3 linked regions of the Coturnix japonica genome follow. The protein of the gene in region 1 purifies or fractionates together with the protein of each later gene. This does not show direct contact. Links are inferred from orthologs where the notes say so. Each region holds a gene or a part of one and is shown in the gene's direction. Other genes may lie near its edges.

Region 1 (9,892 bases):
ATCCTTTGTGCCATAATGAACCAGCTGCCACCAGCCAAAGAGACCAAGATAAAACTCCCTGAAGTACAGAAGTAGATACAAAATAGGCAATTTCTAATGCAGAACACCTTGTTTTCCAAGTCGGTTTCTTTCATACATAGCCAATGGGAGCTGGGTTTAATTATAATCTTCTTAAGTTCTTAGAAAAAGTAAATACAGACAGGGTGTTCTCAATTGTATTAGCAAAAACTTTCTGCACATCAATTAATTTTAACCCCCAAAATTAGAAAGACAAATATTTACAGCAGAGAAAGAACAAAAACATTTGAGAAGCACTCTTGAGCTGTTCAGGGCTGGTAGAACACTGGAAAGGCATTAATACAATAATATGAACAAATGAGACGTTTACATAGTTACCTTGTAGTAACCTACAGCCCTCCATCTCCTTCCTGAAGGATGTAATGCTATGACATGATCACCAGCTGTGACTGTGCTCCCTTAGTTCAGGCAGCCAAACACACAAGTGAAGTTAGCTCAGTACCTCAACCTTAAATTCATCCTGAAGAACCAACAGAATCACAGAATTGTAGGGGATGGAAGGGACCTCTAGTGATCATCGAGTCCAACCCCCCCTGCCAAAGCAGGTTCCCTACACCACGTCGCACAACAACAGCTTTTCTTTTGAAACAAAGCTCAGCAGTACTTTTCTGTGATAGCAGATAGCATCCCAAAGCAACGTACCACCACTCTGCTTCCTGAGCAGGCACTGCCATCACATACCACCAGCCAGTGGCCTCCAGGAGCCTCTGCAAATAAAACAAGCTTCTGACGCAGAGCATTGTTCTCACCTGTAAGCACTCAACTTACTAAGCCTGCACTGCCATTTTTACCTGGGGTTATACTTCCTTCCTGTGATACACCACAAGATGAGGCACAGTGTGTGGTTTCCCACTGCTTGCTCAAGCTTCCACTGAGCTTCTGAAGGGCTGGAGTGCATTCTCAGTGCCACAGCGACAGCAGGGAACCTATAGAAAGGCACACTGCAGGAACTTCTTAAATAGCTACAGGTAAATCACCTCACGAAGCACAGCACTCTACATGCTCCACACTACTTTGTTCCTGCAAATACACATGGCTCTTTGTGGCCAGGTCAGCAACCTACCTACACTTTGCTATCTCTGGCCTCGTTTCAATGCCTCACCACCTGACCTATCATTTGCAACATACGAAGCCTAAGCTTGGGGGATGGCCAGGACACGAGTACAGAAGAGCCCACATGTTTTGCGTGTGCTCCCAGCTGCACTCAGGTCTCCGGTTCCGGGGAGATAAAGCCCAGGTTTCCTTCTCCTTCACCTCTGCACTGCGGCTCACAGCAAAGCCAACAAATGGCTCTGACAACTCAGCCTCAGCGACCCCCAGAACACGGTTTGTTTGGTTTTTGCTTTGTTTTCTGTTTCCCTTCCGATTCTTTCCGAGCTGGAACTAACCGTACAATCGCTACTGAACCACGGATTTCTGGCTAAAATACAAACTGAGCCGCTCGCCGAGCGTTCTTACAGCCAACCACAACGAGCACAGAAGCGAAGTAGAGCAAGTACACACGTTAAAGCCGAGCGGGGGGAGAACGCGGCCAATCCCCCGCCGCACCTACAGCAGCACGGGCAGCACAACGCGAGAAAACGAACCCAACGAGGCTCGGGCCCGACGCTGCCGCCTGCCGGGGCGGGGCCGGGAACAAAGCCTGCCTCAGGGCCGCTGCCCCCGGCGCCGCCGCACGGTCACTACGAAGCGCGGAACCTCGGCCCGCGAGGCCCGGCCGAGCGCCTCCCGGCCACGGAGCTGCCGCCACGCCGCCTCAACACCGCAGGGAACGAGCGGGGGAAGCTCGGCAGGGCCGGAAAGGAGGGACGGAGAGAGGAGAGGAGAGGGACGGAGCGAGGCGGCGGGGCGGCGCTCCAGCCGGGCGGCTGTACCGAGGGCAGCTGTGCCGAGCGCCGCCCGCCCCCGGCCCGCCGTAAACAAAGTGGCCCGGCCGCTCATCCCAACCAAGCCCCGTTTCCGTCGGAGCGCTCCCTCCCCCTCCCCACGGTCCGGCCGCCACCTCACCCTCACCGCTCCCGGAGCGCCGCCGCCCCGCAAAGCGCCGCCGTCGGGAAGCGGGCTCTGCCGCTCACGCCGCTTTATGCCGCTGTATCCGCCGCTCCCTCCGGTAACTCGACGGCCCGGCCCGGCCCGGCCCGACCTCCCGCCCCCACCGCCCCGCCACGAACCGCCGCTCACTGGGGCGCGAGCGCAGCACTCACACGGCACCGCCCCCACGCCCCATCCCCATTGGCTCCTTCTGGTCGAGCCCGCCCTCCAAGCCCCGCCCCGCGGCGTGACTCTCGGCCAATCAAAGCGCCACGCACGGCGGCCTGCTGTCAGGCGATAGGCTGAGGCGGTGGGTAGTCCCGCCCCCCCAGAAGCGCTGGCTGCCAACGGGGCCGCGCTGAAAGGAGCCTGGCTCCACGATGAGCAGCCAGGGACTGAGTTCCCACATCCCCCACAGCATCATGCAGGCTTTAACAACAAGCTGTTAGCCAGATTTACCCAGAACGGGAAGAATAAAGTTGTTATCTGTACCCAGAAGCATTAAATAAACTGCCTTCAGAAATGAGTTAAATAAATCAAACTATCGGGAATTCAAGTTATCTTGCTTTGGGATGAACGGTGTGTTCAGGTGTGGACAAGGCTTCGTTCGGTGATGAGCAGAGATTAAGGCTGGCACCGATCTGTGTTACCAGGCAGATCGCAGTCGCATTCTGTGCTAATTTCACTCACTCTACATGCACGTTCCCTGCTGATTTCTGACACCTTCAGCCTCTACACCTCGTATTTCCTATCTTCAGGCACAGGCTCTTTCTGTGCACTCATCTGGCAGCAGCAATTTAAGCCTCTTCACTTGAATCCCAGTGTTCAGAGAGCAGGGCTGGCTGCGGGGCTGGCAGGGAGCACTACATTCCAGGCATGTAGAGGCACAGCGCTGCACTGACAATTGGCGCAGCAATACTGACACTTTACAAGGAAGCTTGAAAACAAACCGCATTATCACAAACATCTCCCCTCTCCCCTCCATCCCCCTTCGGTTCTTCCTGCTTTCTCATCCCCAGCGCTCACCCGCTATCACCCATTGCAATAACAAAGCCCTGCAGGCTCTGCTTTCTGAGCACACTCCAGCACCGCTAAGAGCTGTGTGCCAGGTTCCTCCTTGGGCAGCATTTAAACCAAGGGGAAGGGAGCCCTGTATGCAGCCAAGCAAGGAGCCTGGTGCTAACAACACAGCAAATAAAAGAACAGCCGCATAGTGATTACCTTCATAGGATTCGCAGTGCCGCAGCTGTGCCTGCTCTCACGTTTATTACAGGGTGGCTCTCCTTAAGAAGGCAGGAAACGAGATAAGGCACAGGAAGGAAACGTTCTCTATTGAAATTAATGCTTTGCGTCCCGCCTGCTGATGCACCCAGCCTGTACACCGAGGGAAAGAAATAAATAAGAAAAAAAAAAGGGCAGAAAACAGCGGAGCGGGTCCAAGCACAGCACTGCCACAGCGACACGAGGCCCCACGTCCTCCTTTGCTGTTCCCACAGCAGAACAGCTGGCTGAAGCTGACAGCCCCGACCCAGCTCCCTGCAGCCCCGACCCAGCTCCCTGCAGCCCCGACCCAGCTCCCTACAGCCCCGACCCAGCTCCCTACAGCCCCGACCCAGCCCTACAGCCCCGACCCAGCTCCCTACAGCCCCGACCCAGCTCCCTACAGCCCCGACCCAGCCCTGCAGCCCCGACCCAGCTCCCTGCAGCCCGGTACCGACCAGGCCCAGCCCGGCACCAGGTTCGGCCCCACGCCGCCCCGAGCTCGTCGCGCATGCGCAGTGCTCCGCAGCACTTCCGGGTCGGCCGCAGCCTGGCGGAGGGCCGTCAGGGCGGTTCCGGTGGCGGTTGTGTCGGTGCGGCCGGGCCGTGCTGGCTGTGAGCCGCCATGGAGGCCGGGCAGGGTCCCGGCGGCAGGGAGCTCGGCGACCCGCCTGAGGTACGGCCAAGCGTCCGGCGCCGTTGGGCCTGGAGGCCCCGGGAGCTTGTGGGGGCCGTGCAGTACTAGGGCCGTTCCCGTGAGGTGCGAGGCCGCGGCGCCACGGGTGCACTGCGGTGTGGCTGCAGTCGGGCCCCGTGTAGCTCCGGTCAGGCCTTGGCCCGCCGTTCCGTGCCCTGTGGCCCGCCGTGCCCTTGAGGCCTGCTTGTCCGTGACCTTTTGTAGGTGGGAAGGGAAATGGTATAACCACAGCTTTTCTTTTCTTTGAAATTAGATAAATACCCAAAGCTATGATTTCACTTGGGGCCTCTGCACCTTGACAGGGAGTCCAATGGAGTATATCTGAAGGCACTTAATGTCCTCTACTCAGCTGTAAGATGGTTGCACAGGGAGCTGGGGAGAAGTGCTCACTTCTTCATCATAGCTGTGTTGAAGTACAGGCGCTATGAGGTCTGAAAGTCACAAGTTTTTAATGGAAGAATCCCCTTAAATCCTTTTGCTTTCTCTTATTGCTCTCCCCAATGAAAGAACACGGTCCCTAAGCACTATGTGCCAACAGAAGAGGAACGGAGGCTCCTCAAGGAGTGTGCTGAAGAGAGCGCCCGCTACCGAGGTGAGTTGGGTTTGATAGGACCTTCTCCCCCATTTGAACTAGGATGCATTGCATTCCCCTCCTCAATGACCTGATGTTGCCATTCCTGCCTCTTAATGTTTTTCTGAAGATTTCTTTCATTCCTGAAGCGCGGTAGTTTTTGCACATCACAGTGAAAAGTGGGGATGGGCTCTGATTTGTTAATCTTTTGTTTAATTTCTACACCTGCTAGTTATGGTGATTTTATGTTTGACTCCCAATTTTTGTTTCCCTGTGGCTGTTTTTTTAATTTTTAGTTATCATTTTATGTTACGTGTAGGCCCACATTGTAGCATTTGTTTCCACTATAATGTATCACTTGTCTTTGATGTCCAGAATATTTGTGCTGGGCTTATAAATCATTTCTGAGCTCTGAAGGTTAAGCTGAATTCCCCTGCAATAAGTTCTGCTAGATTTTTTAATGTAACTTTGTTTTTTCTTTTAACTTAGATTCAAATCTAAGCTCGCATTCTGTATCTCAGAGAACCTGATCTTATGGAAGATCTGCCGTAGCATCTCTAAAACTCAAAGGGTTCTAATATTCAGTGGATTGGAGGGTTACATTCTCTTTGAAATGTTGCTTTGTTGCTTTAACTTCACTTGTAAGCCATAGAGCCCGTACTTGTTCTTAAATGTGACATCTGGCCATGTTTACCCTAATGTTGGATTCCTAATCTATCTTAGCTCTGTCTGAATTTGGGAAGCAAAAAGCAACAGTCTGCAATGTGTATTTAAATAGTGTTGTAAAAATTAAAATTCTGTTTATTTTAACATAGGAACTTAATTAACAAATTACATGCTTCAGAACACTAAAAACTTAGTGCTGTTTACAATAGAAAAATATCCCCCTAGACGAAGTTAATGTAATTCAAGTAGCCTTTTTGTAACATCTATGTTTGCAGTCTTGCTTAGTATGTAATTTCGTTATGAGTTCTGATGCCATTACCTTTAACTTTGTCAACATTCTTGGATGTTAGGGGGAAGTTCTTCACTAGGAGAGTGGTTAGGCCCTGGAACAGGCTGCCCAGGGAGGTTGTGGATGCCCCGTCCTTGGAGGTGTTCAAGACCAGGTTGGACGAGGCCCTGGGCAACCTGATCTAGTAAATGTGTATGTTTGGTGGCTCTGCCAGGCAGGGGGGTTGAAACTACATGATCCTTGAGGTCCCTTCCAACCCAGGTCATTCTGTGATTCATTATTTCAGTGTTATTATATCTGGTGTGTTCTTGGTACTATGAATAGTTTCATAACAGCGTTATCTTCCAAACATTATAATTGCTTGGAAGCATTCCTTTTGCTTCGTGCCATCTCCAAGTACTTCCTGCTATCTGTAGTCATTCAGTGTGATAAAAACTGATGTAAATGGTCAAGCAGATTGTGACATGTAGTAATGCAGTTCTGCGTTCATTGCCTTCTCTGCATTTGATCCTACCCCAAAGTTGGGTAGCGTGATCCATAAACTACAAAAACAACCTGCTCTGTTATTTGATTGCTGATTGACTCTTTGATTTCATTGACTCTTCTGATTATCTCATTTTAATCCCATTGTTTTGTATCTCTTAGAGAGTTGGAATTATTTAAACGATCTCATAATAAAATCAAACCTTTTGATTACCAACCATTTTTAGAGGCACTGGCTTCTATGCAGCCATCTCTTCTAAAAGCCTGTGTAAACTTTCAGGTTTAAAGTGCTGTGTTTTGATGCTGTAGGAGCTGTAGCTGGATGTCAGCACCTTGTCCCTTTTCCCCAGCTGCAACTGGCTCTTAGGTTTTAGGAAGCTTGAAGTTCGAGGACAAGATGACACATTAACCAGTATTGCATAACTTGTAACGGGTCTCAAAAGCTGGAACTGAGAATGTTTCATAGCTCTTACAGTTTGTTAATTGTGCATATACTCATATAAATGAATTTAGTAAGACATAGTGTTTTTCGTTTTATTGCCTGTTCTGTTAATTACATTGAATACTGTGTTGAAATAACTTCTCTTCTTCTTCACAGCTTTTCCTTTGGCTGCAGCAAGCATGCTGGCTACTAGTTTCTTAATCAAAAAAGGTAAACTGTAAATATACCTGGTTTCACTTGTATTTGCTGAGATATGACCTTTCTGCTTAATTAAGGAGCTATAATAATTTTTACATCTATGGGTAACTAAGAGAGTTCAGACTTAAGCTATATGGCATGCACTTTCTGAAGCTAAAGAAGGAGCAGAACTTTAAATGAAAATAAAATTATTCTTCCTTTTGTTTTGCTCTACAAATACAGTATCACTATGACTATGAAACAATAGATTTGACTGAACGTAGTGGTACTCTGTGATATGATTAAAGAGCTAATTCTTAGGTTGTTAGAATTGCGTGGGCAATTGCAGTGTTAGGTTTTCTTGCATTCTTTTGAATGTTAACAGTAAAAGTGTTGTCCACTACTCTTGGTATTATGCAATAGAATTCTGATTTTGTATTCATAGAACAGTTAATGGGTTGGGTTTTTTTCAACTTAATAACTTGTTATTAATTACTTTGGTCTCTCATTTTCAGGCATTCTAAGAGATAGCTCAAGATTTGGCTCCTTTACTAAAGTTGTATGTAAGTAAAAGCTGTGTACAGATTAGCTGGCATTTGTGTCTTAGGTTCTGGAGTCTGTTACTCAGCTGTAACTCCCATGAAACCAGCTGGCTCACTGACTATGACTTCACTCTGTGCTTAGATCAGTAAAACTGCTTGAAGATCATGCCTACACAATCAGATATATCTAGTGAGTAAAGTTCACCTCCTGCAGTGGATTCTATCAGACAGTAACTTCTTTGCAATGTTTCTTAAAAACAGCATATGTTTCTTAAAAACAGCATATAATACTGGGAAAAAAAACTGTACACTATCAAGAGGTAGAGCAATTAATCATATTTGAATTTGTGCAGCAGATTTAGGACAAGTTTTCTTTTTAGGCTTTCTATATAGTTGTAAGATTGGAACTGTTCTTCACAGCAGTAATATGAGAATGAAAGATAAAAGCACTGTAAACAGGCATTGTATAAATTTCCTTATTTATTTTCCTTTTCATTGTGGTCTGCTGGGGGTCAGTATCCTTTGGTGATGGAGATTAAAGAGGAATCAGAAATTCATCAGAAATAAATTCATGCTTAGGAGTGTGTGTAGGAATGTAGCCTGTTGCTATTGAAGCATCTTATTCAGAGTGTTACAACTGTAAAGAACTAAGTAAAAATGTTCTTTTGACCTAGCTTTTGTATTTTCCTTGTCTGTGTAAACTTTGCAGGAGGGAAGAAACAAACACACACAAACATTTTCTTTTGCTATCACCTAAACTGTGTATACTAGCAGTTTGTGATGCTTCTATCAGAACCTCATTTTTGAACATATTTAATATTTGCAGAATCTGTTCAATATTTTTGCTTTGGCAAGTAGAACTTTTTTACATTGCTTAAAAGTTTGTAGGTCCAAATAATATCTCCTAAAATATTGGAACAATATACTGCTGCTGCAGTGCAGTTGGCTTGAAGGACTTTGCCAGGGTACACCCACCCCTCCCTTCCTAATTTGAAGGTCATTATTCATGTGTCTCACTTATCCCATTCATCCTATTTTAGTGCTTTTTTTTTTTTTTTTTTTTTTTTCCCTGGATGTTCTGTTATACAATTATGGGAAGACAGCAATTTCTCATGAATGATTTTGGGTTAACTATAATTAAAAAAAATAATAAATTAGCCATTTGAATGTAATACATAACAGTAAAACAGGAACTCACCATCTTGCCAATCTCCTTAGATGCAGCCAGTTACAGCCAGTTATTATCACAGTTTACTTCAGTGGGAAGAGGGCAAAAGCCATGATTTGTGATGAAGGAAGTGTTGTTTAGGCAGATAAATGAATGTGAGAGACCAGGGCTGCCATTTGTTTATAGCAAGTTCTACTTGCTTTTTTCGAATGCTAAACAGTACAAAGATTTCTAATGGATAATAGAATTACTATTTTCCTGACACCTCCTACGCATATGTCGCTGAAGACGATGTTCCATGTATTTAGCAGAACTACACTTTGAAATGGGCCAGACCAACTGTTCTTGAAACTGTGGCTAATACTTCTAACTTACCTTCAGCATACACTGGTGAACATATAGGCTTTCATTTTAAGTGAAAAGAATTTCCATTAAAAGTGTGTTTTGGTTGCCTTTCGGTAGGTTTGTGCAGGTTAGCAGATACAGTTTGATTACTGGACTTTTGGGGGGGATGCAGGTTGTGGTTTAAAAGGCTTGAGTTAAGCAGTTCTCATTCCATCCTCATTGTTTACGTCAGATGTGGCTACTGTCTACAGGTTCTTCCTGGAAATGATTGCCAGCTCCACGTGGTGTCTCATAGTTTAACTGTACATTCCCATTGCAGTGAAATCTGCTTGAAGGAAGCAACGCTGTTGTCATTATTTTTGTTTTCTTTTTCCCCCATGGGCTCTGAAAGAAGAACATGCGCAGTTCTGAGTACTGGTGCTAGCTCATTGTCGATGTAAAACAACAGTAAAACAGTTTAAGACTACTTTTTTTCTTTTAGCATTCTAAAGGCTCTAAATTTTTCCCTCTGTGTGTGTTAAGTATCTTCCACTTTCCTTCTTCTTCCAAGCAGTTAAACCCCTACGCTTCTTATCAGTACACATCTGTAAACTATGCTTTTGCGTGTGGCTTTTATTTTCCTTGGAAAGCATGGTGTTTTTTTTAACCTTTTTGGAAAATACTGGCTTTATAACAGGGATCACAATTTCAGTATGGTAGGGTAAAATCCCCTGCTATGTTGATTCCCAGGTAATATAATCTACAGTGTGAAGGTCTTGGGGAATTATATTACTGGTAACTAATATCTACCTGTTTTAAGGATGATTTAGTCTCTAGCCTTCATAGTTAGAAAATGCATATAAAGGCATCTGTCCTCTTCTACAGATAACAGAGATTCTTTTGATTGCCACTGAATTCTGCTTCTCTGTGCCCACTCGTAAACCTGAAGGACCAACTGATGGAAATCAACAGCTTTAATTCCAGAAAAAAAAATGGAATTTAGGCTTATATCCTGCCTAGCAGATAAAATATCCCATATGCGAAATTGAAAGCATTCGCCTTAAAATTGCAAGAGTTCCACCAATTTAGTTGTATAACTAGTTTAATACTAGAGCCTAGTACAAAATATTGTGGATTTCTCTTCATACATTTTGTGGTCTATCC
Region 2 (9,653 bases), on another chromosome or scaffold:
CTCCAGTGAGGAGGACCGGGAGACAACAGCGCAGAGGCGCATTGAGGAGTGGAAGCAGCAACAGCTGCTCAGGTATGGACACGGGAGCTTTGTCATGGGGCACTGCTGTCAAGAGCCATCTCCTTTAGAGGCAGGGAGTGTGATCTGGAGTCTCTGTATTGGGGAAAGAGTGGTGGGGAGAGTGTCCCTTTGCACCACATGGGTGCTGACACCCTGCTTTGTCCCTGCAGTGGCATGGCGGAGAGGAACGCCAACTTCGAAGCACTGCCAGAGGACTGGAGAGCACGGCTGAAGCGGAGGAAAACCGCATCGAGCACATGAAGCGTCCGTGGAGCGCTGTTTTTTACAGTTGTACAGTTTGGAGCCCTTTATGACTCAACTGTTGTCCAATAAATTGTAGCAGTTTGGGATGTGCCGTCTGCTTGAATGACAAGAGGGATGTTTGGGGTTCACGTGTTTGGATTGACACTGTGGGCTGGGGATGGAGTGTCACCTGCAGTATGGGCACTGAGGGGTATGGGCCATGTATGTGCTTCCCTTGGTGTCCACCAGGGCACAGCAAACAACTCGGTTCCTCTGGCTCCTTTCCCAGCTCCACTCTGGGAACGCCCCATCCTTCACCACTGCCAGCGGTCGCTGAGCGACCGCGTCTGTGAACAGAAGGGGAAAGAAGAGGGTTGAGCTCCTCTCGAAGCCATGTGGCTCCCAAGGCACCCAGCTGCACAGGTTGGGGGTTGCCGGGGGGGGGGTTGGGAGGAGGACTGGGGGCTGCCAGCAGGGCCTGATGGCACCGTTCTGTCCAGGCTGTCCCTGAGCCCTACGACAGCTTCATGCGTGGACACCTGTGCTACTACGGCTACTTCCAAGGTGAGAGCTGCGTGTCACCTTCTTGTCCCCCAGCCTGTGGGACCCCCATCCTGGTTGGGCTCCAGCAATGCTCTCCCAAAGGCCAGAAGCCAGCCAGCCAGCAGAGCTCTGTGTCTCCATGGGGACATACTGAATGCCACTGTGCTGACTCTGGCACCCAGTGGGGCATGGGGAAGGACCCAAGCTGTGAGTAGAACCCCCAGCAATGGGCTGCAGCACTCCTGGCAAGGTGACACCAGGAGCGTTGTCTCCATCCCTTCCAGCTCGTGCTGCCTGTTCTCTGCTCAAACTGCACCACGGGGCTGGGAGCTCCCTGGGCCGTTCTGCAGCCCCCAGGGCCCTGCAGATGATCCCCTTGCAGGGTTATGAGTCACCCAGGGAGCCACGGGCTCTCTTTGCCCTTCCCTCAGCACAAGGACCACTTCCTGCTCCCCGCTGGCCCATTGAGTGTGAGGTCATCAAGGAGACCATCAAGCACATTGGTGAGGTAGCACTCTGCCTTTTCCTATCCTTGTCCCCATGGCTAACCCCTGCGACGATAATGGGGTTTGACTCTATCCCTCCCTAGAATGGATCCCCCCTGAACCAGAACCCTTCTACCAGCCCACAGACCACCCACAGCTACCAATGGGTGAGGAGCAGGGCACCATCGTCTACCAGCTCAACCCAGGTAGTGCCCAAGGGTGCTGCTCCCCCCCTCCTCACCCTCGTGCTACCCCTGGGGTGCTAAGCCCAGCTGTTCCCAGTGCCCTCAAGCTCCTGCTTCACCCGTGCTCGGGCTGGGGGAGCCCCAGGCCCCCTTTCCTCACCGGCAGCCACCCTAGAGAGCTCCCAGGACAACACGCTGCTGTTTGAGTCGCGCTTTGAGGGTGGCAACCTCCAGAAAGCAGTGAAGGTGTAAGGGTGGTGGTGATGGGAACAGGCAGCGGGACACAGTGACGTGCCAAGGTGCCTAAGTGTGGCCCTTCTGCCCACCAGGGGCCCCTATGAATATGTGCTGACGCTGCGGCCAGACCTGTACACCGCCAAGCACACCCAGTGGTTCTATTTCCGCGTGCAAAACACACGGAAAGACACCTCCTACTGCTTCACCATCGCCAATCTGGCCAAGCCGAAGAGCCTCTATGGCAAGGGCATGTGCCCGCTGTTCTACTCACAAAAGGATGCCCAGAGCCACGGCATCGGTTGGCGCCGCATCGGCACCAACATCCGCTATTACCGAGGGGGCAGCGGGGAGGAGTCGGCCGCCTTCCGCCTGTCCTGGAGCGCCTGCTTTCCCCACGACAGCGACACGTGCTACTTCGCCCACTGCTACCCCTACACCTACTCGGACCTGCAGCGGTACCTGCAGGCAGTGGCGGCTGACCCAGCGCGCTCACGGTACTGTGCAGTGCGGGTGCTGTGCCGCAGCCTGGCCGGTAACATGGTCTACATGCTCACCATCACTGCTCCATCCGGCGGTGCAGCCAAGCGTGCAGTGGTGCTGAGTGCCCGGGTGCACCCAGGAGAAAGCGGTGGCTCCTGGGCCATGCAGGGCTTCCTCGATTTCATCCTCAGCGCCGCTCCTGATGCTCAGCTCCTGCGCCAGCTCTTTGTCTTCAAGGTGGTGCCCATGCTCAACCCCGATGGGGTGGTGGTGGGTAACTCCCGCTGCTCTCTGGCCGGCCGTGACCCCAACCGTGCCTACAGGACGGGGTCTCAGGGGTCTTTCCCAGCCGTCTGGCACCTGCGGGCCATGGTGGAGAGGTGAGGTTGGTGATGTAAGAGCAGCCAGAGGAGTGTTGGATGCTATATCCTTAATGGTACCTGTGGGGTGTTGGATGCTGTATCCTGACTGGTACCTGCAGGCTGTTGGCGGAGAGGGAGGTGGTGCTGTACTGTGATTTCCACGGGCACAGCCGCAAGAACAACGTCTTCATGTACGGCTGCGACGGTGGTCGGGATGGCTCTGAGATGCGGCTGCGGGAGCGGGTTTTCCCACTGATGCTAAGCAAAAACGCACCTGACAAGGTGGGCTTGGCGCCTGGTAACCTGCAGTGGGCAGCAGCACAGTGACATCGGTTGCTGTCACGGTGTGGGGCCGCAGTTCTCCTTCTCCAGCTGCAAGTTCAAGGTGCAGAAGAGCAAGGAGGGGACGGGCAGGGTGGTCATGTGGAGGATGGGCATTGCCAACAGCTACACCTTAGAGGCGGCCTTTGGTGGCTCCACACTGGGTGAGGGGCAGCGCTGGTGATGGCGTCACACTCAGAAGCCCAAGTCCAGCCCTAAGGACAGGCTCTGGGGCCTGGTGAGGGATGCAACTACTTCTTTTGTTATCCCACAGGTGGGAGGAACTCACACTTCACTGTGGAGGACCTGAAATCATTGGGGTACCACCTGTGTGACACACTGCTAGACTTCTGTGACCCCAATCCAGCCAAGGTGGGTGGGTGACTGCAGGCAGCAGCAGCCCCGCAGTGCAGTGACAATGACACCGGCTCCATCATACAGTTCCAGCAGTGCCTGGAGGAGGTGGATGCATTGCTGCGGCAGCGGCTGGGCTCTGGGCAGAGCTGGAGTGACGTCTCCACCTCAGAGCTGGAGTCCAGGTGTGTCCCGGTGGTGACATCCATGGGAACAGTGACAGTGGCACTGGCTGCAGTTGTCTTCTCCCTCACACAGCACCAGCGGCTCTGACAGCTCCGTGTCTGACGGGTCCCTGGAGAGGAGCGAGAGCCCCTGGGGACAGAAGGGACAAGGTGCCAGTGTGGCACCTCAGCTGCAGCTGAGGAGGAGGAAGCGGTTCTGGAGCCGCAGAGCGAGGAATGCCATGCGCAGGCCCAATGCCACCCAATGGAGTCACAGCGGTGACCCGGTGAGCGTGGCTCAGCCAACCTCTGCCTGCCATAGTGGGACTCGCAGTGCCTTCAGCCCCACTTCTGTGCCCCAGCAGCCACAGCCGTCGCCATCTGTCCCCGTCCCCACACCAAGAGGCCGTGAGGAAGCAGAGGAGCTGCACGGAGCCGTTCCAGGTGCACACACCACATACCACCGCCACAGCACTGCCATGGCCACACGGGGTGCCATCTCCCCCATCTCCACCAGCACTGCTTCCTCACAGCAGGGCAGGGCGCGGCCTTCCCCACGGGGCACCACAGCGGGGCTGTCCCTGCGTGTGGCTGCTGCTGCTGCTGGCTGCGGGAGGCGGCCCGGCCTCACAGCGCTGCGCTGCTCCGCCTGCACTCGGCATTAAAGGCAGCTTTGTCGTGGCTGCGCCGTGTTTGTGTCGCATGGGGGGAGATGCTGGGCTGCCGAGGGCCGGCTGCCATGTTGTCCTCATGCTCCTGCAGGCCTCGGGCTCCCAGGGTTACGTAGGCCGCGTCGCAATGGCGACCAGACCGGAAGTAGGAAGCGAGCGCGCCGGAAGTCGCCAGGAGGCGGAAGCGGAAGCGGTGGAGGTGTCCTTTGGGCCGTGGCGCCGGGGCGGCAGCATGGCGGACGAGGCTTCGCAGTTGCTGCTGGGCTCGGGGCTGACCGTGCTCTCGCAGCCTCTCATGTACGTGAAGGTGCTGGTGCAGGTAAGGGGGGGCCGGGGGGCGGCGCAGCGCTTCGGGGGGCGGCCGTGGGGACCGTCCGTGCTGTCGTACCGCAGGTGGGATACGAGCCGCTGCCGCCCACCCTGGGCAGGAACATCTTCGGCCGCCAGGTCTACCAGCTTCCAGGGCTCTTTGCCTACGGTGAGTGTTCCAGCACGGCCCCGTACGGCGGCGGTATCACACAGCGGGTCTCTGATGCCGCCCGTCTCTCCTGCAGCCAAACACATCGTGAAGGTGGATGGCAGAGCGGGGCTGTTCAAAGGCCTGGCCCCCCGGCTCTGCTCCAGCGCCATCGGCACCGTGGTGCACAGCAAAGTGCTGCAGGTACCGTGCCCCCCTGCGTGCGTTCATTACCAGCCGCCGCTGGTGGGTCAGTGCTGACACTGTGCTTCTCTCCACAGCGGTACCAGGAGGCTGAGAAGGCTGAGGTACGTGGGGGCTTTTAGGCTGGGGGGGTATTTCCAGGGGTTACCTCATGCTTTTGCCTCTCTGCAGCCAGGAGCCAGCAAGAAGGAGCCCGTGTCCTCATTGGAGCAGGTGCTGAAGGAGGTGAGATGAAGGAGGTGCTGCAGGGCTCCCCTCTGCCCGCTCTTTTTGCCTCTGACAGCTCTTCTCTCCTCCAGACCTCCCAAGAGATGGTCGCTCGCTCTGCTGCCACCCTCATCACCCACCCCTTCCACGGTACGTACCCCCGTGGTTCCCTATAACCACCACTCTGCCTCTGTGGACATCATGGTGATGGCCTCGGTGCCGTCCCGCCGTGCCACACTGAGCTCAGCTCTGCCCGCAGTGATCACCCTGCGATGCATGGTGCAGTTCATCGGCAGGGAGACCAAGTACAGGTACAGGGGGGAAACCACAGGGAGCCATGTCCCCCATGGCTCTGTTTGGTGTGACCGATGCCCTCTCCTCTTCTTCTTGGTACAGCGGAACACTAAGCGCCTTCGCCACGATTTACCGAGAAGAAGGCATCCTGGGGTTCTTTGCGTGAGTGCTCTGGGTTGTGGATGTACTCGTTGGGCAAGCTAATGGCATGTAATCACAGCACCTGCCCCACGTTCATAGAACCACAGGATGGTTGGGTTGGAAGGGACCACAAACCCCCCCATCACATCATGCTGCACAGGGACCCATCCAGCCTGGCCTTGGGCACCCGTAGGGATGGAGCACCCACATCTTGTGTAATCCACTATGTGGTTGTTTGGTGCCTGGGGAAGCATCAAACCATGCCTGTTATTTCCTGAGTATCCACATTCCTGAGGCTGTGAGCTCTTCAATTGAGTGTAGATCTGCTGCCTCCTTCTCCTAAACCTTAAACTTCTTCCCTTCCAGGGGCCTTGTTCCTCGGCTCCTTGGAGACATCATCTCACTCTGGCTCTGCAACATGCTGGCCTACCTCATCAACACATACGCGCTGGAGAATGGGGTATGTGCTCTGTGCCAGGCTGGGGGTGATCACAGTCTCAAGGGATGCTCAGGTCTCCAGGTGGGCTTCACAGTGCCTTCCTCCCCCCCAGGTCTCAATGACGGAGATGAAGAGCTACTCGCAGGCAGTCACCGGGGTGAGTAGAACCCACAGGGACATGTTGGGATGCTCATGGTGTTCCCCACTGAGCAGCTTTGCTTTGCCTTGCAGTTCCTCGCCAGCATGCTGACATACCCCTTCGTGCTGGTCTCCAACCTGATGGCTGTCAATAACTGCGGGTGAGCGCACTGCCACCACCACCACCACCTTCCCTCGTCTCTCATGCTCACCATGTGTGCGTGCCAGCCACGTCAGATGTCCCCAAAGGAAGCTCCCAGAGGGCAAGAATGGTTCCCAACCCCCCAAGGCTGAGCAAGCGTGGCCATGGGGAGGTGCGGGGTGGGAGCTGGAGCCTCAGCAGTGTTACAGATGGAGCTCAGGGCTGCGGAATGATGGGTCCTATGTTATCCCTGGGTGGAAATAACACTGTGCTCTCCTTACCAGGCTGGCTGGGGGCCTGCTCCCCTATGCACCCGCCTACTCCTCCTGGCTGGACTGCTGGAGCCAGCTGCACAAGGAAGTAAGAGCCACTATGGGGCTGCCACTATGGGGCTGTTTTAGGGCTAAGGGCAGCCCTGAATGACTCCCATGCTGCTCCTCATTCTGTTCCAGGGCAACATGAGCAGAGGAAACAGCCTGTTCTTCCGCAAGGTGCCCGCAGGGAAACGATACGTGTGGGATGAGAGGAGGTTCCGCTGAAGTGGGGGGGTGGGGGGGAGCGGAGCCATAAACCCACATTGATCTTTACCGAGAAACAATTATGAGCGAGTGGTGATTTCTATACTTTGTTTTTTTGTTTGGTTTTTTTTTTAATCATTTAATTTTGAGCGATGAAAAACATCTGTGTGAGTGTCTGTTGTGGGGCTTTTGTGGTGGGGGGGTGGATCCTGCCTTGCCTGGTTGATCTCCACTGTTCCAAAGAGGCTTGAATGTGCTGTGTCAGGGCTGTGGGGCAGGAGGGGAAGGTTCAGGCACACCTTATGTTGCTGCAGTCCTTTGTACATCCGGCAGCAGCGTTGCACGCCCGCTCAGGGCGTTGCATGCCCTGCAGGGGAGGCTGCACCCTATTGCACCCATGTACCCAGCGTCCCATAACTACGCCGTACAGCCGCTGGGAGCGCTGCAGGCCCCCGGGGGGGCGGGGGGCGGTCCTTCCCTCCGTCCCGGGGCGGTGCAGTCATGCGGGTGGGCAGCTGGGTGAGGGGTGTCCCGCATCGCGTCACGCTGTGCGGGGCCACGGAGCGGCGCTGCCGGCGGCTGCTGGCGGAGGGGGCGGCGGGGGGAGGCGGGGAGGCGGGGGCTGCCGTGCTGGTGCCGCTGTGCTCCGTGCGGGGCCGCCCCGCTCTGCTCTATACGCTGCGCTGCAGCCGGCTGCGAGGGCCCTACGGCGGCGATGTGAGGTAGTGCGGAGGGAGATGGGGGTTATGGGGTGGGGGGCACCCCACTCAACCGGCCCTGCCGCAGCGCTGCCCCCCCCCGCCCCGTTGTAGCTTCCCCGGGGGGAAACGGGAGGCGACGGACAGTGGAGCGGAGGGCACCGCGCTGCGAGAGGCTCGGGAGGAGCTGGGGCTGAACCTGCGGGAGGACAGAGTATGGGGGCGGCTGCGAGGGCTGCCCGAGAGGGTACGGAGCGGGGACAGGGGGACACAAGGGGGACATGGGACATGGGAAGGGTGGGGACAGTGTATGGGGAAGAATGAGGACAGGGACGCTGGGAACGGAATGGGGATGTGGGGGTAACTGCAGTGGGACATGGGGCATGGATCGGGGGACACGGGGCTGGTGGTTGGGAATAAAGTGTAACTGGGGGCAATGGGGACACCGTGTGGCTGGGAAATGGAACAGAGGTGACCGGGACCAAGGTGACAGGGACACTGGGGACACAGTGGAGATGGGGCGAGTTGGTGGGGATACAGGGATGGAGTGTGTGGGGATGGGGACATTGGGGTTCAGGGAGGATGGGGCTGGGAGGTGGGACAGTGGGGCCTGGGAACAGGGTGACAGGATGGAGAGTGGGGCAGTGGAGACACATGGATGGACATGGGGTGGCTGGGGATAAGGTGGCAGGGACGTGGTGGGTTTGGGATGGGACATATGGGGTGGCTGCAGCATAGTGCCATTTATCACCCTGTCCCTCTGCCACGTGCTCCTTGCTAGCAAGGGATGCTCGTGGTCCCCGTGGTGGCCAACCTGGGACCCCTGGAGGACCTGACACTGTCCCCAAACCCTGATGAGGTGGGTGACCCCCCTAAACTTCATCCCCATCCCCGATGCCACCCAGGTGTGTCCCCCCAACCCTCTTCCTGCCTTTACAGGTGGCTGAGGTCTTCACTCTGCCTCTGGAGCACCTCCTGCAGGAAGAGAACCAGGGCTACACCCATTTCCGCACTGCGGGTCGTTACGGCTACACTCTGCCCGTCTTCCTCAACGGCCCCCACCGCATCTGGGGGCTGACAGCCATCATCACCGAGCTGACATTGGAGCTGCTGGCACCCGACCTGTACTGCAGGAAGACCCACGTGCCTGCCCGCGGCGTCATTGCTCCCCAAAAAAGGGCTTGAGCTGCACTTTGGAAGGAGCCGAGGCTCTGGGGGTGATGGAGGTAGAAAGTGTTGGGATGGAGGGTGGCATGGTTACACCACTGTCCACCCTCTCTGTGCCACTGGTTGATGTTTAGATGTGACTTTATTAAAAAGCCATGTTTCAAACCACTTCAGTTGCAGCAGTGTTTATTAAGGAGCCCCAAGACTGGGCAAGAACCCACCGGGAGCAGCGAAAGCACATTGCCACTGCTGCCACCATTCTGACCTCCTCATGCTGAGGCCGCTCGTGCTTTGGCCTCTCCGAAGCGCCGCATCCTGTCCTCCAGCTCCGGCCTAAAGTGGCGGATGAGGCCCTGGGTTGAGAAACAAAGCAGGGTTGGTGAGGCTGAGAGTCAATCCCCTCAAATCCCATTGCCATCCCATAGTTCACCTGCACGGGCCAAGCGGCACCATCACCCAGTGCACAGATGGTGTGGCCTTCAATCTGCTTGCTGATCTCCCACAGGGCATCGATCTCAGCTGCCTGTGCGTCGCCCCGCACGAAGCGGGCCATCACCTTATTCATCCAGTCAACACCTGTGGGGACAGGGACACGGTGATGGGCCCTGTGTCATAGTGATGGACCCTGTGACACAGTGATGGACCCTATGGCACAGCCCCATGCTCACCCTCCCGGCACGGGGTGCACTGCCCACAGCTCTCGTGCTTGTAGAACTCGATGAGACGAGCGATCGCTTTGACAATGTCAGTCTAAGGAGGAAGGAAGGAGACACACTCAGGGAACACTCATTCAGGGGACGGGGCAGCCTGGGGAGGGCTCACCCTGTACCGATTTATCCATGACAATGACGGCAGCTGTTCCGAGCCCGCTCTGCGCCTGTATCAGGGAATCGAAGTCCATCAGCACAGTCTCACACACTGACTTTGGGAGCAGTGGGGTGGAGGAGCCCCCCGGGATGACAGCCAGCAGGTTGTCCCAGCCACCACGGACACCCCCTGCCAAAATAGAGGGGATACACTGAGCCAAGCCTGGCTGGACCGTCCCATTGCATTTGAGTATGGTGCTTACCAGCATGCTTCTCAATGAGCTCCTTCAGCGGCACCGACATCTCCTCCTCCACTGTGCAGGGGTTGTTGACGTGG
Region 3 (9,746 bases), on another chromosome or scaffold:
TTGCGACCTCAGCAGCACTGTGTCCTGCACAGTGATGGGATGTGTTGGATCTCACTGGGCTGAGTGGTCTCCAAGTGCCTGGAATCACCTGCATCCTCCAGAGACCCGGTGTCCTGATTGGCTGCCCTGCGTGATCACCAGCACTGGGAAGGGCTGGGCTGTGACCGGCTGCCTGCAGATAATCCTCTTGGAAGCTGAGCTGTGATTGGCTCTCAAAGGATCCCAACCCACCAGAGGAGAGCTGGGACTGGTTGTGCTGCGACCGTGCCTCCTTCTCCTGCCATGCAAGCTGCCTCTGAATTGGCATCATCTGAGCAATCGCATTGGGATCACCAGACTTGAGCTGTGATGGGCTGCTACCCGCCCCCTCACCCGCATGGATCCGTCAGTGCCACGGAATCGACTGCAGAGGGATCCAGCCGCTGGCTCCTGCAAAGACACTGCTCCTGTTGCATCACCTGCACCCACCAGAGCAGCCTGAGGAGCTGTGGGGGCGGGTGCGACCGTGCTGCATGGGGAGGTGGGCTGGTGGGGCACGGGACTGGGCTCGCAGGCGGCCGCCTGCCCCGGGGGATGGCGAGGGGTGTTGCCAGTTGTGTTCTCCAAGTGCTGACGCAGGTTTCCACATCGCAGGCTTCTCTGATCTGGCAGGAACTGGAGGCTGAAGAACAAGAGCTGCAGCTCGAGGCTCCCCAAAGGCCTGCAAGAAACTCCTGGAGGCCCCGTGGCCAGAAGAGGAGTCCGGGTACCCCCCAACACCCAGACGAAGGCTGCATCAAATACTTCATCCTGGCCACCACGGCCGCAATCGTGGCTCTCTTCCTGAATGTGTTCTACCCGCTCATCTACCAAACCCGCTGGAGATAGGTGTGGGCAAACAGAGCAGGGCTGCCGGGGCACACGCCGTGCCAGAATGCTGCACCACGAAGACGTCAGAGCTGCCAGGTGGCCCGACAGAACCCTGCGGGCAGCAGGACAGAACCCTGTGGGAAGGACACGCCTGCTGCGGGCACCAATGCTCTCGGAGGGAAGCTTGGGGCTGTCGGCTCCTGTCTGTCTGCTCTGGCATCCCCTATGCCAGCTGGCAGGGCTGCGTGGCCGGCCCCCAGCGTTGCCAGGGCACAGCCCAGAACCAGCATCCCCTCAGCCCGCCCTCGCCCTGGCTGCCTGCTTGGATCGGGGCTGGCCCCAGTGGTACATGCTGCTCAGGAAAGGACGGTGCCGCTGCCACTGGGAACATCCTGGCAACAAGCAGAGCCCTGCCCGGAGCCTGTTGTGAGAGCAGGATGCCCTGACACGATCGCTGGTCCCACTGCTCCCTGCTTTGGGAGCCTCACATTCTAAAGAGCCGGCAGAAGCTGTATCCCTCTAGGCCAGCATCATCTCCTGTGCGGGGACTGGATGACTTGTCACCGTGTGCTTTGCACTTCCTTGCTCAGTCGGGGGCCTTGGCCTCAGCACTGCTCCTCACCCTGGGGCATGGAAGAGCAGCACCCAGGCAGACTGTGCTGGGGCACACACAGCACTCCCTGAACTGTCCCTGTCTGCATCTGGAAGTCCCAATTTACAATGGGATGGGTCTGGGGGAGCACGAGGCAGCACCTCACTGGGGGACTGGCATGGGCTCGGGGAGCAGCAGGAAGGAGCTGGGCTGCAGGAGGCCCGTGGGAGGTTGTGCTGGCAGCGTCGCTCTCCTGCACGTTGCGGCGTGTGCCAATAAAGGCAGGTTTTCCAAAGAGCTGCAGCACCTTCTGTGTGACAGGACCGTGGCAGCAGCCAGAGGCTCTGCAGCCGAGCCTGCTCCAGTGCAAAGGGCAGCTGGATGGAGTGTCCCTGCCCTGCCCCTGAGCTGGTCTCACAGCACAGCCGGCACTGAGGTGCTGCCCTGTGCTCAGCGGGGTGCAGGCTGAGCTCTGATTGTGCCGAGGGGCCCCAGGTGTGTAGCAACAGCCGTGGCACGTGCTGGGTGCCCGGCGGGCCTGGCAGCTCACAGCACTGCCTGGCTGGGGCAAGGCCTGTAGCTGCAGCGGTGCGTGACATTGAGACGTGTTGCCCTTGGCTGAGCGAGGCTCGGGCTGCTCGGGAGTGTTTGGGTTTGAGAGGTGACTTCAGAGCCCTGTGACTTCCTTTTCCGTCTCCGCTGCCGTCCTGCCGGCAGTGCCCTTGTGTGTGTCAGGAAGGATGCTCAGTGGGAACGGTCGGGGCCCCGTCAGCGCTGGGAGGCTGGAGCGGGGCAGTGCAGCCCCTGGAGTCCCCCCACCTCCCCCCATCCCTGTCCTCGTCGTACAGCTGTGCTGCCCGGCCCTTATTCCTGCACACGGGTCCCAGCCCGGTGCTCCCCGCCGTCGGGACGTTCCTGCCCTGGAACAGTCGCCTCATTGTCTGCGGTCTGGGGCCCCCACGCGCCCACGGCGCTGCCCTCGTGGGGCTGAGTCAGCGCCCGGCGCCTGCGGGGTGACCTCTGCTCCGCCTGGCGCTGCCGCCCCGGGCTCGAGGCCACGCACCGCTCCCTGCACCTGCCTCAACCGCAGGTGACGGTTCCGTCCCGTGCTGCCGCTCCCGCCCCGCGGACCCGGACCGAACGCAGCGGCCCATGGCGGCGGTGCGGGACGGGACGGCGCGTAGCGGCGATGCTGAGCGTGCCGCAGCCCGGCTGCAGCGCTCGGGCAGGTCGGGGCCGTGTGCGGGGCCGCTCCGGGCTCGTTGCGTTCCAGCCGGGGCCTTTGCCGGGAGCGGAGTGGGAGTAGAGCGGTATGCAGCGTCGTGCACTGTCTCACGGCCGCCTTCTGCTTGCAGGGACTGACTGCGGTGCCGTTCGGATCCGGCCTGGCCCCCGAAGGAGCCCCGCCGCTGGCTGCGGAAGGTCTCCCCGAGCGCTTCTCCAGCCCCGCCGAGCGCCCGGCGCCGTCCTACAGCAGCATGGAAGAAGTCGATTAGAGCAGCGCGGGCACCCGCCATGGGGCTGCGGGCCGGGCTGGGCACCGGGACGGGTGGGGGGCGGGCACGGGTCGGGGTTTGTCCTGCTCTCATTAAACTTGCTGAACTCCGCTCGTCTCTGCTGCCTGCTGCCCGCCCCGGGCTGCGACCCGGGTACTGCGTGTCCACCGCGCTGCCTACAGCCCCAGTGTCCCCTACAGCCCCCGGTGTCCCCTACAGCCCCGGTGTTCCCTACAGCCCCAGTGTCCCCTACAGCCCCCTGTGTTCCCTACAGCCCCCGTTGCCATGCAGCATCATCCCGGCGCTGTCACCCGCCGTGCCGGTGCATCGTGGCGCTGCTGTCGGGGAACACCCGATGTGCCCTCGTGCCCCGTGTCCCCGCGTGCACCCAGGTGTCTCCCGCTGTGCCCTACGGCCCCGAGCACCGCGGTGGATGTGGCGCCCGGGGACGTTGCTCGGTAGGCGCGGTGGGGGTGGGCTGAAGGTTGAACTGCAATCGCAATCAGATTAGGTGATCTCAGAGGTCTTTTCCTCCTTCAATTTCGTATCGATTTACGTCCCCCGGGGCGCCCTGCCGCCCCAAGCGCCCCGCGTTCACCCCGTGTTCGCCCCGTCACCCGCTGCGTCCCGTTGCCCGGTGCCCGCGTCCCGGTGCCGGTGGGGCGGACTGCAAGTCCCGGCAAGCCGCGGGCGGGCGGCGCGGCCAATGGCTCTCGAGGGGCGGCGCGGCCCGGCTCTGCCTCCGCCGCCGCCCGGTGCCGCGGCGCAGAGAGCCCCGGAGCGGCCGCGCGGCGCCGGCCCCGCAGCCCGGCTCTGAGCCGCCCGCCCGGCCCGGCCCGCCCCGCCGCGCCCCGCCGCCCTCAATGAGGTTCTTCCGACTCACCTTCAAGTGCTTCGTGGATTGCTTCTGAGCTCCCCCCGGGCACGGAGCCGCCCCCGAGCCGCCCCCGGTCCCCGGCCCCCCGCGCCATGCCCCCCGTCCCCGCCGACACGGCCGCCCCGCAGCCTCCCGCCGCCCCGAGCCGCGACGCCGCCGCCCCGACGGGCTCCGGTAAGAGCGGGGCTGAACCGGGCCGGGGAGGGATGCGGTGCGCGTTGGGGGGGGTGGTTGGGGGGGGGCCTGCACGGCCGACGCGCGACCGCGGCGCGCCCCTCCGGTCCCGCGCGGGGTGAGTCACCGCTCGCATTGTGACGTCACGCGGCGGGCTGACATCTGACGTCACGCCCCCACGCGCGGAGCGAGGGGCGCGGGGGGGGATCGCGCGGGACATGGGGACCCCCCCCCCCCGCGTCCCCCTTCCTCCCCACCCGTGAGCGCTGGTGACGCGGCGCTGCCCCCCCACCCCCCCAGTTCCCGTCCGTGTCCCGGCAGAGGGCACCGAGCCCCCCGCGGCGGGAGAGGAGCGGACGGTGACGGCGCCGCTGGTGGGAGCCCCCGGCCCCCCCAGAACGGCCGCCCCGGAGCGGGAGACATGGACCCGGCAGATGGACTTCATCATGTCCTGCGTGGGCTACGCCGTGGGGCTGGGCAACGTCTGGCGCTTCCCCTACCTGTGCTACCGCAATGGAGGAGGTGAGCCCCGGCGCGGGGTGTGTGTGTGTGTGGGGGGGGGTGGTGGGGGTCCGCCACCTGCCCGCCCTGACCTACATCGGCGCGCGGCGAGGGGGAGTGCGCCGAGTGACGCTCGCCATTCGCTGCGCCCGGCGGGCGGCGCGGGGGGGACCGGCGAGGGGGGGACGGCACGGCTGAGCCGTACCCTGAACGGCCGCGTCCCCCCCCCCAGGCGTCTTCCTCATCCCCTATCTGCTCATCGTCTTCGTGGGCGGCATCCCCGTCTTCTTCCTGGAGGTGGCCCTGGGGCAGTTCATGAAGCAGGGGGGCATCGCGGCGTGGAATATCGCTCCGCTCTTTAAAGGTATTCGCCGTCCTCCCCCCTGCTCCGTGCCCTGCGCGGGGCCCCCGCAGCTCCCTGTCCACGCCCCGTGTCCCGCAGCCAAGGATGGCAGCTCCCTGCCCTGCCCTGCAGCTCCCCGTTACCGTCCCCGAGAGCCACGAGTCCCCACTGTGCCCATGGCTGATCCCACGCCATCCCTTTGCCCATCATCCCACACCTGCACATCCCGTCCCCGCCATCGTGGCACATCCTCTCCCCCTGGATCACTGTGGGCACACAGAGCCCCGTGCCAACCCCACCGCCACGTTCCAGGTCTGGGCTTGGCCTCCATGGTGATCGTCTTCTTCTGTAACTCCTACTACATCATGATCCTGGTGTGGGGGCTCTTCTACCTGGTGCACTCGCTGACCGACAAGCTGCCCTGGGCCACCTGCGGCCACGCGTGGAACACGGAGCGCTGCGCAGAGTTCTTCCACCTGGAGCTGTGCCGTAACGCCAGCGCCAACGCCAGCGCCGCCGCCACCGCCCTCAACGTCAGCTGCTCCGACATGCGCTCACCCGTCATCGAGTTCTGGGAGTGAGTGTGGGGACGGCGCGGGGCGGAGGGGACGGGGATGTGTTGGTGCTCAGTGCCACCCCGCCATGCAGGAACAAAGTGCTGCGGCTGTCGGGGGACCTGAGCGAGCCGGGGGAGATGAACTGGCAGATGATCCTGTGCCTGGTCTCCACCTGGATCATCGTCTACTTCTGCATCTGGAAAGGTGTCAAGTCAACCGGGAAGGTAACGCGGTCCCACGGCTGTACGGGAGGTGCCACCAGTGCTTGGGGACGTCCAAACCCCAGCCCTGATGGGGACACAAGTGGCACGGGGCGTCCTGCCCCATAGCACCTCCTGCCCCACGGGGCTCTGACCAGCTCCCTGTCCACAGATCGTCTACTTCACGGCGCTGTTCCCCTACGTGGTCCTCATCCTGCTGCTGGTGCACGGCGTGACGCTGCCCGGTGCACTGGGTGGCATCGTTTACTACCTGAAACCCGACTGGTCCAAGCTGGCTGAGGCGCAGGTGAGGGCGGGGGGGGCAGCGAGGCCATGGAGAGGGACAAGGGACACGCAGTGCCCCTAAACCCCAGCGCCGTCCCCATGCCCCAGGTCTGGATCGACGCTGGCACTCAGATCTTCTTCTCTTACGCCATCGGGTTGGGCGCGCTGACGGCACTGGGCAGCTACAACCGCTTCCACAACAACTGCTACAGGTAGGGCTGCGCCGCCGGGACCCCGCAGAGCCCCACAGAGCTCCTGCACAGCCCATAACCCACTGTGCCCACAGGGACGCCTACATCCTGGCCGTCATCAACAGCTCCACCAGCTTCTTCTCTGGCTTCGTCGTGTTCTCCGTGCTGGGCTTCATGGCCTCAGAGCAGGGCGTGGATATCTCCAAAGTGGCCGAATCGGGTGAGTGGTGCGTGCTGCGGGCCCTGTGTATCCTACAGCGGGTGGCACCGCTCACCCTACTGTCCTGCAGGTCCCGGGTTGGCCTTCATCGCCTACCCCAAAGCCGTCACACTGATGCCCCTGTCCCCGCTGTGGGCCACGCTCTTCTTCTTCATGCTCCTGGTGCTGGGGCTGGACAGCCAGGTACGGCAGTGGGGACGGGGACGGGGCTGGGACCCTGTGCCCCTGCTGACCCCTCTGTGTGCCGCAGTTTGTCGGTGTGGAGGGTTTCATCACTGGCATCCTGGACCTGTTCCCCCAGCCGGGGGCCGGCTCACTGCGCCGTGAGCTCACGGCCGCGCTCTGCTGCATCGTCTGCTGCCTCATCGACCTCTCCATGGTGACACAGGTGGGGACGCGCACGGACATGGGCCAGGGCCGGGCTGTGCCTTCCCGTGGCATGGGGCTGGAGCTTCCATGGCTGTGTGGGGTGTCTGTGCCATCTGGGGTGGCTGTGCCATTGGAGTGCTCTTGGACTGGGGGTGTCTGTGCCGTTTGGGGTGTTGTGTGTGCCATTGGGGTGCCCATGGCGTTGGGCTGTCTGTGCCATTTAGAGGATCCATGACATATGGGGGGTCTGTGCCATTTGGGAAGGTTGTGCTACTGAATGTGCCCATAGCACTGGGGGGTCCCTGTCCCATTTGGGGTCCCCGTCCCATTTGGGGTCCCTGTCCCATTTGGGTGCCCATGGAGCAGCCCGGTGAACGCAGTGCTGTCCCGCAGGGCGGCATGTACGTGTTCCAGCTGTTCGACAACTACTCAGCCAGCGGGATCACGCTGCTGTGGCAGGCGTTCTGGGAGTGCGTGGTCATCGCCTGGGTGTACGGTGAGGCTGTGGGGATGGGGAGGGGTGCAGGGATGGACACCCGTGGGACCCCGCTGACGTCCCCGTCCCCGCAGGCGCTGACCGCTTCATGGACGACGTGGCCCGCATGATCGGCTACCGGCCGCTGCCCTTCATGAAGTGGTGCTGGGCCGTGGTGACGCCGCTGGTCTGCGTGGTGAGCGGGGACGCGGTCGCGCGTGGGTCGGGGGGCGCTCGGGCGCCCTCGCGTGGCCGTGTGCGCGCTGCCCCGGCCGGAGCTCCGCGGGCTCCGGGCTCCCCCCGGCGGCGGCTGCGGGCACGGCGGTGGGTGGGGGGTGGGACACTCGTGCGGGGGGACGCGCGTGGGGACGGCCGTGGGAGCTCGCTGCCGCTCCGCGCAGGGCATCTTCTTGTTCCACGTGGTGAACTACAAACCGCTGACGTACAACAAGACCTACGTGTACCCGTGGTGGGGCGACGCCATCGGCTGGGTCCTGGCTCTCTCCTCCATGCTCTGCATCCCCTGCACTGTCATCTACAAGCTCCTGCGCTGCAAAGGCTCCTTGCGCGAGGTGAGGCAGCACCGGGCCACCCTGGTCCCTGTCCCCGTCCGCACCTGAATCCATTCCCTGTTCCTTCTGGCATTTCCATCCCATCACCTCACGTTGGTGGCTCAGTCCCATCCTGAGCTGAATCCCATCCTGATCCCTGATGCCTTCTCCCCATCTCATCACTGTCCCCATCGCTGTCTCGCTCAAAGCCAACCTCATCCAAATCTCATCCCCGCTTCTATGATTGTCTCTGTTCAAATCCCATCCTTGTCCCCATCCCTGTCTCTCTCTCAGTGCCATCTCAGTCCCCATCCTCACCCTGCCACTGCTGCCCTACCCCCTCTCTCAGTCCCATTTCAATCCCTTCCTCCCAGTCCAAATCCTATCCCTGCCTTATGCCCATCAAAACGCCATCTCTGTCCCCGTCCCCCCTAATCCAAACCCCATCCCCACCCACATGCTCTGTTCTGTGCCACGTCCCCAATGCTGACCCCATGTCCCTGCAGCGCTGGCAGCTGCTGACCACGCCAATCTGGGGCCACCACCACCTGGAGTACCTGACGCCCGAGGCCGAAGCCAAGCTGCTGGCCCCAGAGCCCCCCAAGGAGAAGACAACGCTCTTCGAGACTGTGATCTGAGCGTGGGGAGGGTCGCGCTGCTCCCGCCCGCCATAGCAATAATGCCAGCACCACCTCCCACCCATGCAGCCCCGCGCCTGGGCCCCCCCCGCCGCACTGTCCCAGCCTCTATGCAGGGAGTAGGGGGTGGTGGGAACCGCTCGGGGACACGGGGACGGGGCGGCCACGGGGGTCCCCAGCGCCGGGAGGGGGGTGTAAGACATGGGGTGTGGGTGGTGGGAGGGGGTAAGTGAGTAGGACAGCTCCTCCCTGGCCTCCGTCCCTATGCCCCACTGCCCCCCAGCCCGGCCGCCCCGGCCGGTGGCACTTCGCTCACTAACCGCTTCTGTAGCGTTTGTCTGGTGTAACCCCAACCGCCCCGACATCTGGCAATAAACTGGGAGACCCTGGCACACCCCGGCTTGGGATGGTGGCACCAGGTTGGGAGGAACTGGGTGTGGGGGTGGTGACACTGAGGGGCTGTGGAGAAGGGGCCACCTCTCATTGCAGGAGGCAGCTGCTGCCCTGTGCCCACTTGGCTGTGGGAGGGCTGTGGGACTGAGAGTTGCACAAGCCTGTGTTTGATGTGGGGCTGGGGGTGTCAGCGGTGTATGCTGCCCCAGGAAGTCCATGGGCATCCTGCCCAGCAGTGAGGTCAGGGATGTCCCCATCATGAGAGACAGGGAGGGAACAGTGGCACCGCCTGCCCAGGCCGTCGCTGCATCATGCCTTGTCACACCACCACGCCATGTCATACGGCTCTGTTGTAACACCCTGTGCTGTGCCGTGGTGGGGGGCTATGCCATGCTGTGCTGTGCCAAGTGGCCATGCCATGCCAAGTGGCTGTGCTGTGCTGTGCCAGGGGCTGCACTGAGTCCCAGTGGGACCGGGGCACAGTGGGGTCTCATCCTGGGACACTGGCTGGTCCCACCGCTGCACCCTCTCACCCCACCACTGTGATCCAGCCTTTCCGGCCCCACCGCCATCTCACACCATAATTAGTGCAGGCAGGGCGGAAGCTCCCCTACTAATTGCCGGTGACTCGTTAGTGCTGGAGCGCCATGTGCCTGGGGTGCGGCAGGACGATCCGGCAGGGCTGGTCTGCGGGCATCCCGCTGTGCTGTGCGGGTCCGTGGGGCCGTGGCGGGGCCCTCATGTCACAGCATGTCACAGCCCTGTGATAAAAGCAGCGGCTGCGGGGCGGCGTTGGGGCACAGCAACACAGAGAGCAGAGGCAGCGGGACGGGGCAGGGAGGGCAGCCGGGGACAGGAGGTGCAGGGGCTGCGGGCCACACAGCACCATGAACAAGATCACGGTGTATGAGCGCGCCGACTTCGAGGGGCTGAGCCGTGAGTTCACCTGCGATGTGCCCGACCTGCACGAGCTGGATTTTGGCGACTGCATCGCGTCGCTGAAGGTGGTGGGGCAGCCCTGGATCGCCTACACGC

Evidence for each region.
Region 2: the proteins of OCIAD1 (region 1) and MTCH2 purify together in Homo sapiens (affinity purification with mass spectrometry; 3 studies listed by BioGRID and IntAct, with this or other methods). This does not show direct contact. The link is inferred for Coturnix japonica from reciprocal best matches to the Homo sapiens genes OCIAD1 and MTCH2.
Region 3: the proteins of OCIAD1 (region 1) and SLC6A8 purify together in Homo sapiens (co-immunoprecipitation; 3 studies listed by BioGRID and IntAct, with this or other methods). This does not show direct contact. The link is inferred for Coturnix japonica from reciprocal best matches to the Homo sapiens genes OCIAD1 and SLC6A8.

What each region holds. Positions count from the first base shown.
Region 1 is NC_029519.1:59,793,689-59,803,580, reverse strand, and holds the start of OCIAD1 (OCIA domain-containing protein 1), read left to right. Parts: upstream 1-3,898; 5' UTR 3,899-3,994; coding exon 3,995-4,045; intron 4,046-4,573; coding exon 4,574-4,658; intron 4,659-6,673; coding exon 6,674-6,727; intron 6,728-7,209; coding exon 7,210-7,257; intron 7,258-8,279; exon of another isoform or gene 8,280-9,133; intron 9,134-9,892. UniProt on the Homo sapiens protein: Maintains stem cell potency. Increases STAT3 phosphorylation and controls ERK phosphorylation. May act as a scaffold, increasing STAT3 recruitment onto endosomes. Involved in integrin-mediated cancer cell adhesion and colony formation in ovarian cancer.
Region 2 is NC_029520.1:552,694-562,346, forward strand, and holds MTCH2 (mitochondrial carrier homolog 2), read left to right. Parts: upstream 1-4,265; 5' UTR 4,266-4,337; coding exon 4,338-4,424; intron 4,425-4,498; coding exon 4,499-4,583; intron 4,584-4,659; coding exon 4,660-4,766; intron 4,767-4,843; coding exon 4,844-4,870; intron 4,871-4,937; coding exon 4,938-4,991; intron 4,992-5,065; coding exon 5,066-5,123; intron 5,124-5,232; coding exon 5,233-5,284; intron 5,285-5,369; coding exon 5,370-5,429; intron 5,430-5,774; coding exon 5,775-5,868; intron 5,869-5,959; coding exon 5,960-6,004; intron 6,005-6,078; coding exon 6,079-6,146; intron 6,147-6,411; coding exon 6,412-6,487; intron 6,488-6,579; coding exon 6,580-6,666; 3' UTR 6,667-6,807; downstream 6,808-9,653. Other genes in the region: FNBP4 (formin-binding protein 4), read left to right, coding at 1-72, 231-321; AGBL2 (cytosolic carboxypeptidase 2), read left to right, coding at 697-726, 804-1,053, 1,131-1,349, 1,436-1,537, 1,614-1,764, 1,846-2,613, 2,715-2,877, 2,954-3,080 and 3 more; NUDT8 (nucleoside diphosphate-linked moiety X motif 8), read left to right, coding at 7,147-7,367, 7,458-7,590, 8,125-8,202, 8,283-8,528; NDUFV1 (NADH dehydrogenase [ubiquinone] flavoprotein 1, mitochondrial), read right to left, coding at 8,780-8,863, 8,941-9,086, 9,179-9,260, 9,340-9,506, 9,580-9,653. UniProt on the Homo sapiens protein: Protein insertase that mediates insertion of transmembrane proteins into the mitochondrial outer membrane. Catalyzes insertion of proteins with alpha-helical transmembrane regions, such as signal-anchored, tail-anchored and multi-pass membrane proteins.
Region 3 is NC_029527.1:9,106,301-9,116,046, forward strand, and holds SLC6A8 (sodium- and chloride-dependent creatine transporter 1), read left to right. Parts: upstream 1-4,700; 5' UTR 4,701-4,804; coding exon 4,805-4,853; intron 4,854-5,144; coding exon 5,145-5,409; intron 5,410-5,480; coding exon 5,481-5,613; intron 5,614-5,761; coding exon 5,762-5,896; intron 5,897-5,982; coding exon 5,983-6,086; intron 6,087-6,160; coding exon 6,161-6,285; intron 6,286-6,355; coding exon 6,356-6,468; intron 6,469-6,535; coding exon 6,536-6,673; intron 6,674-7,047; coding exon 7,048-7,150; intron 7,151-7,224; coding exon 7,225-7,325; intron 7,326-7,530; coding exon 7,531-7,701; intron 7,702-8,186; coding exon 8,187-8,318; 3' UTR 8,319-8,710; downstream 8,711-9,746. Other genes in the region: USP19 (ubiquitin carboxyl-terminal hydrolase 19), read left to right, coding at 634-867; sodium- and chloride-dependent creatine transporter 1-like, read left to right, coding at 3,907-3,988, 4,310-4,510, 4,608-4,687; epidermal differentiation-specific protein-like, read left to right, coding at 9,599-9,746. UniProt on the Homo sapiens protein: Creatine:sodium symporter which mediates the uptake of creatine. Plays an important role in supplying creatine to the brain via the blood-brain barrier.